Linked DNA regions of Cricetulus griseus. The protein of the gene in region 2 purifies or fractionates together with the protein of the main gene of each other region. This does not show direct contact. Links are inferred from orthologs where the notes say so. Each region holds a gene or a part of one and is shown on either strand. Other genes may lie near its edges. The genes, in order: Was and Pstpip1.

Region 1 (3,910 bases), on a different chromosome or scaffold from region 2:
ACAAGGTCCTTTCTTTCCTTCCTTCCTTCCTTCCTTCCTTCCTTCCTTCCTTCCTTCCTTTCTTTCTTTTTCGAGACAGGGTTTCTCTGTGTAACAGCCCTAGATGTCCTAGAACTCAGTCTGTAGACCAGGGTGGCCTGGAACTCGGAGATCCTATTCCTCTGCCTGCAGACTGCTGGGATTAAAGCGAGTACCACCACTGCTCAGCAAGATCCTGTATCCAATTCTCATCACCAAAAGTGGCGAAAATCAAACCTTCAAAGGTTACATACTTTTGAAAAGTCCCAACATAATTTAAAAATATCAATCAAGGGCTGGAGAGATGGCTCAGCAGTTAAGACCACTGTCTGCTCTTCCAGAGGACCCAGGTTCAATTCCCAGCATCCACATGGCAACTGGAAACTATCAAGTTCCAGGGGATCTGACACCTTCACAGCAATGCACATTAAAATAAAGTTAAATACATTATAAAAATAAAACAAATATTAAAAAAGCAATCAAGATGTTGTTTTAGAATTTATTTATACTGTGAAGTCCTTCCTTCCAGAATGAAGTTGGCTGGGCATTGGTGGCACACGCCTTTAGTCCCAGCACTTGGGAGGCAAAGGCAGGTAGATCTCAGTGAGTTCGAGGCCAGCCTGGTCTCCAGAGCAAGTGCCAGGATAGGCTCCAAAGCTACACAGAGAAACCCTGTCTCGAAAAACAAAACAAAAAACAAAACAAAACAGAATGAGGTTGATCAGAAGAAAGTAAAGAGGGAGCTACAGGAGGCAAGGGTAAATGATGAGGAAGTAAGCCATGGGCTTATATGTTGTTGGCGATGTTCAAGGCTGGAGATGGGGTCACTGCGCCATTGCAAGGAAAAGCTGTAATGCAATGACCCTTCAGCACCTGGAGCCTTGGACTCAACCCCAGGCCAGACTGGTGCTTTAGGGAAGAAGGAGATGACACAGCCTTGTGACTACTCTGAGCAGCGAACCCTGTAGAAGTGCTGCAGATGGCTTAGCTCTCAGCACCAACTAGAGCGAGATCTGAGCTTGTCAGAAGGAAATGGCAAGAGAGAGACAGAGAGAGGGACAGAGAGGGGGGAAGAGAAAGAAAAGGAAGAAAGGATCCCTGAGCTCATTACAAACATGGTTCTAGCTAGGCAAATGGAGGATGGCCCCAGTCAGTTCTACCGAGGAGGACAGGCCCTCTGGGGGCCCCTGGAGGACTTGTTTCCCTTGTGGTTTATTGCACTTCCTGTTCCCTTGCTCACTGCGGAAGTTCCTCTTCTTACCCTGCACCCAGAGCTTAGCCGAAGAGGACTAGGGCAGAAGGCACCATGAGTGGTGGCCCTGTAGGAGGCAGGCCTGGGGGTCGAGGGGGACCAGCAGTTCAGCAGAACATTCCTTCCAACCTCCTCCAGGACCATGAGAACCAGCGACTCTTTGAGCTGCTTGGCCGAAAATGCTGGGTGAGTTGGGGATCTCCTGGTCCTCCCAGTCTCCCTCCCTTTCCTCGTCTTCCTCTCTACCTCTTCTTCCCCCTTTTGCCTTCTCCTCTTACCCATACATCCCTGCTCCTTCTTCTTCCCATCATCCCTCTTTTCCCTTTCCCCCATCTCCTCTCCCAGCATCCACTTACCACAGTTTGTGGATCCCAGGACTATCTTGATATCTACCTTCCTCCTGGCTATAGCTCTTTCCCCCAAGCTCATGACAGCCTCAAGCAGGCAGGGGCCAGGCCTGGTTACCCGTGCACAGACTCCAGTGACCCCCTGCTGTCCCATCCTAGACACTGGCCACTGCAGTTGTTCAGCTGTACCTGGCACTGCCCCCTGGAGCTGAGCACTGGACCATGGAACACTGCGGGGCTGTGTGCTTCGTGAAGGATAACCCTCAGAAGTCCTACTTCATTCGCCTCTATGGCCTTCAGGTGACCCAATGCCCCACTGGACAGAAAAGCTAGTCTCCAACCTGCAAAACCAGTTTTTGTCCGTAGCCTCAAGCCCTTTTTCCCATCAGAACTCCAGAGCCAAAGACCAATACAAATCCCAAATTGTGTTTTCTCATTGGAGTCCTAGATGACTGAATTCAGAAGGCCCATGCCAGGGTCCTGATCAGCTCCACAAACTCCCCTGAAACACCACATTTCTACCTGAGCCGAAGCCTCAAATCTGTTCTGAATCCAACATGGTGAATATTTGTAGGCCTAGAATCTTTTTTTGTTTGTTTGTTTTGTTTTTTGTTTGTTTTTCGAGACAGGGTTTCTCTGTGTAGCTTTGGAGCCTATCCTGGCACTTGCTCTGGAGACCAGGCTGGCTTAGAACTCACAGAGATCCGCCTGCCTCTGCCTCTCGAGTGCTGGGATTAAAGGCATGAGCCACCAACGCCCGGCCTGTAGGCCTAGAATCTTAAATTCACGGCGTTGAGCCCTCAACTCCTACAAATGGTCCTCAAATCCCAGACCTAGATCTCTCACATCAGTGTCAGCTTCTAAGACTCTCTCCCAATCCCCCATACCAGACACCTAGACCCCAAATTCTGCTATTGAGCTGACGATCTCTAAATAAGACTCTAGGACACCAAATCTGGACACCACACTCCCTGATCAGAAAACAAAAGTCTGCCACCCACAGTGCCTGCATGCCAGCATGTCCCCCACCCTGCCCCTCTCCAGGCTGGTCGGCTACTCTGGGAACAGGAGCTGTACTCACAGCTGGTCTACTTCACTCCCACTCCCTTCTTCCACACCTTTGCTGGAGATGTAAGTGAGCAGCCTAGCCTTGGGCTGCAGTTGGGGTGTGGGGAGGCCAGGAGAAAGCCTGGGGGGTAGGGAGTGCTAGAAGTTTGCTGACCCCAAGGCATATATAGGACTGCCAAGTAGGACTGAACTTTTCGGACGAGAGTGAAGCCCAGGCCTTCAGGGCTTTGGTGCAGGAGAAGATACAAAAAAGGAATCAGAGGCAAAGTGGAGGTAAGGAGAAGCCCTTGGTGGGGGTTGGGGAGATAAGTTAGACATGTGAGGTGAGGCTGGAAGAGCCCCTCTTGTGGTTCTGACTCTCAGTCTACCTATTCAACCACAGAAAGACGCCAGCTACCACCGCCACCAGCACCAACCAATGAAGGTGAGTCCTCCAGTTCATGTAGCTGTTATAAGGAACTAAGCCAGAAACCTGTGGCAACAATGTAACATCTTAACTTCTTCCATTTTCCCAGAGAGAAGAGGAGGCCTCCCACCTCTGCCCCCACATCCAGGCGGAGACCAGGGTGGTGAGTGGTGGTTTTCTTTCTTTTTTTTCTAGACAGGGTTTCTCTGTGTAGCTTTGGAGTCTATCCTGGTACTCCCTCTGGAGACCAGGCTGGCCTCCAACGAGTGGTGCTTTTCATGTCCCTGGAGAGACGGTGAGGAGTTAGATGAATGAATAGTTGCATGAATGCCTAAATTTGTAAAGAGGTGGATGGCTGGCTAGGTGGATGGGTGGATGAGTGGATAGCCGAGCATGTTGATGGATTGGCAGCAGATAGAGGAGTAAATTGGAAGATGAACTGATGATAGATTATAGATAAATAAGTGAGTGGGTATTTGGGTAAATGGGTGAATACTTACTTGTATTCAAGTAATGAATGGATGGTCCAGTGAATTAATGAATGGGTATGTAAATGGATAGTGAAAAAAAGAAATGAGAGGTAGTGAGCTGGCTCAGCACTTGTCACTGAACCTGGAGACCTGAGTCCTATCCCCAGAATCCACACAAAGATAGAAGAGAACCTACTCTTTAAAATTGTCTTCTAGGCTGGGCGTTGGTGGCGCACGCCCTTAACCCCAGCACTTGAGAGGCAGAGGCAGGCGGATCTCTGTGAGTTCGAGGCCAGCCTGGTCTCCAGAGCGAGTGCCAGGATAGGCTCCAAAGCTACACAGAGAAACC
Region 2 (3,810 bases):
GCTGTCCAGATGGGCAGACAAGGTGTAGTAGTTTGAATATAATTGGTCCCTATGATATCTCATAGGGAGTGACACTATTGGGAGGTGTGGCTTTGTTGGAGTAGGTATGGGCTTGTTGGAGGTAGTGTGCCACTGTGGGGTGGGCTTTGAAGTTCCCTATGTTCAGGGTACTGCCCAGTGGCTCAGTCAACTCCCTGTGGTCTGCCTATCAAGATCTAGCCAGTACCACATCTGAGTGCCGACTTGCTTCCCACCATGATGATGGACGGAACATCTGAAACTAAGTGAGTCACCCCAATTAAATGTTTCCTTTATATGAGTTGCTGTGGTCATGGTGTGTCTCCACAGCAATAGAAACCCTAAGACACAGGGTTTACAATGAACTAAGTTTCTGCCTTAGAGCCCTGTTTGTGAAGGGTCAAGTTCCCAAGGCAAGGGATGCCAGTAAGAGTAAAGTTCCCAAGGCAAGGGATGTCAGTAAGAGTATCTCATACAAGAGAGAAACTGAGGCACAGGAAGGGGAAGGACCTTTCCTGGATCTCCAGACGCTGCTTGGCCCCAGCTCTGAGATTTAGCCACTTACCCTCCAGGTGGGCCAGGTGCTCAGCCAATCAGAGCAACAGACTTTGGAGAGTTGTTCCCTACCCCAGCCTTGAAGCCTCCCTGCAAAGCAACCCCAAGCCTGTCTGCTCTTACTGCCTGCCTGCAACAAAGCCTGAACTCACACACTGCCCGCGATGAGGCACTCACTTCCTTCCAGTGTAGCCACTCCTTGTGGGCACAAGTGCCTTCAAATGCTTAGCTGAGCCTGAAGCCTGTGCTGCACCCCTAAACAGTGTCTTTCCCCTCCCTGCTGAGCCACCCTGTAGAGTACTGGCCCCAAGTCCACCTGTCTTCAGAACCAACAGCAGTAATCCTCATGTTCAGGACCAGCTTCCAGGGGCCACTCAACACGAGTTGGCGCCTGTGGACAGCTGGCACTGTTGCTGACCCTCCGCAGTCTAGGAAGTAGGATAGTCAAGCCCTACATCTTTTCTTCCTCCTGGCATGGCAGCCTCCATGGGGCATTCTGTCCCAGAGCTAACCCTTTATGGAAACCTCATTGTCATGGTTGGTTTCCATTGTCAACTTTATATCCCTAGGAAGACAGAGACCCTCAGCTGAGGAATCGATTCCATTGGATTGACGCATGAGTGTGTCTGTAGACCATTTTCTTGACTGTTAATAGGAGGGCCAGCCCACTGTGGGCAGTACTATCCCTAGGCAGGTGGCCCTGGGTTATATAAAAAATGTATCTGAACATGAGCCTGGAAGCAAAACCAGTGAGCATTTCTTGTAATCCCTGCTTCAGTCCCCACCCTAGTTGCCCTCAGTGACAGATTGTGACATGGGAAGTGTAAGCCAAATAAACCTTTCTTCCCAAGTCAGTGTTTTATCACAGCACAGGCTAGCAAACTGGAGCACTCACCTTCTCCCTGTCATCAAGCCATACTTCCCAACTGGCCCCCAGAACGGGAGTGACCTTAGCCACCATCCCCTCCTTGGTCCCGCAATCTTCCTCCTCTGGCCTCCCATCCCTTCTTACCTTCTTCCGCTGCTCTTTCTGCCTCTCACGGAACTCCTCCAGGCTCCGCAGCTCCTCACGGAGGGCCAGGGCCAGCTGGATGTGTGCGCTGCCCACGTTCTCTGTCTCTAGGGTGACAGCGTGGCCTCTGCCTGGATCAGTCCGGCACCCTCACACTTCACCTCCCAGCCCTCACATCTTCCATCTAAATCTGGACCACAGCCGAAGCACACACCCCAGTCACCCCTGTGAGAGCTGTGCCCTATAGCCCTGCTGCTATAGGGGATGGTTGGAACTTACGCTGCTTCAGGGAGTCAAAGGAGGTCCTCAGGGAACTGCAAAACAGAAATGCAGGTCTGCAGGCAGGCATGCTGCAAAAAACCTGATGTCCTGCCTGGCCCATGGCACTTTTATTTTGGAGGGAGGGTCCTAAGCCATATATACACTACCTCTGGATGCAAGGGACCCTTTGGCTATGTTCATCGTTAATGTGATCCCCAAACTGGCATTCTAGTAAACCAAGTTTCCTTTGTAAATTACAAAGCAATCAGACCTTGCTATGGCAGGAAAGGAAGTCATCCACCCTCCATTCCCTCACTCCCTGCTTCTGTTTGCACACTTAGAGAAGAGAGGTGGGTCCCGGGAAGCTCCCTGCCCTCTCTGAGACCTCCCCACCAGGGCAGGCACCTAGCCTAGTGCTTCTGTAATCCAATGCTGATAGCAAGAGTCTGAAGCAGGGGAATGACCTTTGACAGCTCCTTCCAGCAGGTGGCCTGGAAGGCGAATAGAAAGGGTCACAACAGGGAGAGCTATTTGGACTGTTCCAGGGAGGGAAGGAAAGGAAGAGGCTCCACAGGGCACAGGAGCCCAGACAGTGCTCAAACGGGAGGGGGTGCTATGTGGAGGAACTGCAAGCACCTTGGGAGTGGGGGGGGGGCAGTGCACCACCTGGAGTCCCAGCACTCAGACAGCAGAGGGAGAAGGCCACAAGTTCAAGGCCATCCTGAACTTCACAATAAGCCTCTGTCTCAAACACCCCACTCCCTTTCTCAGACATCTCCACAGGGCTCAGTTTACTTGAACTTTATTTTCAGATGGCTTCCTGAATGCCCCGAATAACAAATGATGAACACTGGAGTAAAGAGCTGTCACTGTGTACTGGGAGGGGCAGAATCAAATGCCCTGTATTCTGTCTGGCAGCCTTGTTTGCCCCAGAGCATGGTGACACTGAGGGTTGAGCTGAGGCTCCAGCACTCCCACCCCAGACACACTGCTGTTTATGGGTGGGTATAGGAGTCCTGGGGCAGATACAGGAACTACAAGAGAGAGAGACCCACGGAGCAGGGTCTTTGAAGGGCATGAGCTGTGTTCAGATGATGGTGTGGAGATCAGGGCGTCTCCTACTGTGGGTTTCCATACACAACAGCTGTAGACCCTGGAGCCAGATGACCAGGCTCTTCCACTTATCCACTGTGTGACCCTAGGCGAGCCGCCTGGCCCTGCATCTTCACTTCCCTTCTCTAGGGAAACACAAAGTGGTAGTGAGAATGTGAGTCCAGCGAAAGGTACCATGGAGGCTTGGTACAAGGTAGGAGCTCTGCCTGTCACACTCACACATATGCAAACTCTGCCAGTCCTGGGGACATCCTCCAGGCACCAGCAGCCCACCTGGCCTGCTCCCAACCCCATACTGCCCCTTCTAAGAGTTTTCCAGTGCCCCCCTTCCCAGAAGTTGCTGCCTTGACCTCAGGTAGGAGTCTGCCTGGCTACCCCAGCTTGAGTCCTTTCCCAGAGCCCTTCCCCAGGTGAGTGGCATGGGAGCAGATTCACATCAGGCTGTGGATGGTGAGGGAGGTCTGCACGTCTGTGCTCCCAGCTTGGGTTTAGTGTACTGAATCTCTTAAGGACACAAAAAAATGCATGGTGGCACAGCTTGCCCCAAGGTATTTAGACACCATCTGTAGCCCCTAGCTAAGGAAAATAAAAATGCCATGGCTTCCTTATCACCAGGATGCCTGAGGAACCAATCAGTCGGGCTGCTGTGGAAACTGAGGCTAGAGTATGGCAAGGTCACTAAATATCCCAGTCAGCAGCCTATTAGCCCTTTGTTACGGTCTTTCACTGCCTCTCTGCAGAGTGCTCTCCCGCCCTCTGGTGGTACAGTTGTCATATGACACCCATCTCATAACCAATTCTCCTGGTGTCCTTTCATAGAGCCCCACCTGCCTGTGCTTTGGGGTAGAACA

Evidence for each region.
Region 1: the proteins of Pstpip1 (region 2) and Was purify together in Homo sapiens (affinity purification with western blotting; 3 studies listed by BioGRID and IntAct, with this or other methods). This does not show direct contact. The link is inferred for Cricetulus griseus from reciprocal best matches to the Homo sapiens genes PSTPIP1 and WAS.

What each region holds. Positions count from the first base shown.
Region 1 is NC_048604.1:114,563,918-114,567,827, reverse strand, and holds the start of Was (wiskott-Aldrich syndrome protein), read left to right. Parts: upstream 1-1,275; 5' UTR 1,276-1,324; coding exon 1,325-1,456; intron 1,457-1,776; coding exon 1,777-1,917; intron 1,918-2,661; coding exon 2,662-2,748; intron 2,749-2,855; coding exon 2,856-2,958; intron 2,959-3,067; coding exon 3,068-3,109; intron 3,110-3,200; coding exon 3,201-3,254; intron 3,255-3,910. UniProt on the Homo sapiens protein: Effector protein for Rho-type GTPases that regulates actin filament reorganization via its interaction with the Arp2/3 complex. Important for efficient actin polymerization. Possible regulator of lymphocyte and platelet function.
Region 2 is NC_048597.1:167,628,364-167,632,173, reverse strand, and holds part of Pstpip1 (proline-serine-threonine phosphatase-interacting protein 1), read right to left. Parts: intron 1,900-3,810; coding exon 1,865-1,899; intron 1,693-1,864; coding exon 1,586-1,692; intron 1-1,585. UniProt on the Homo sapiens protein: Involved in regulation of the actin cytoskeleton. May regulate WAS actin-bundling activity. Bridges the interaction between ABL1 and PTPN18 leading to ABL1 dephosphorylation.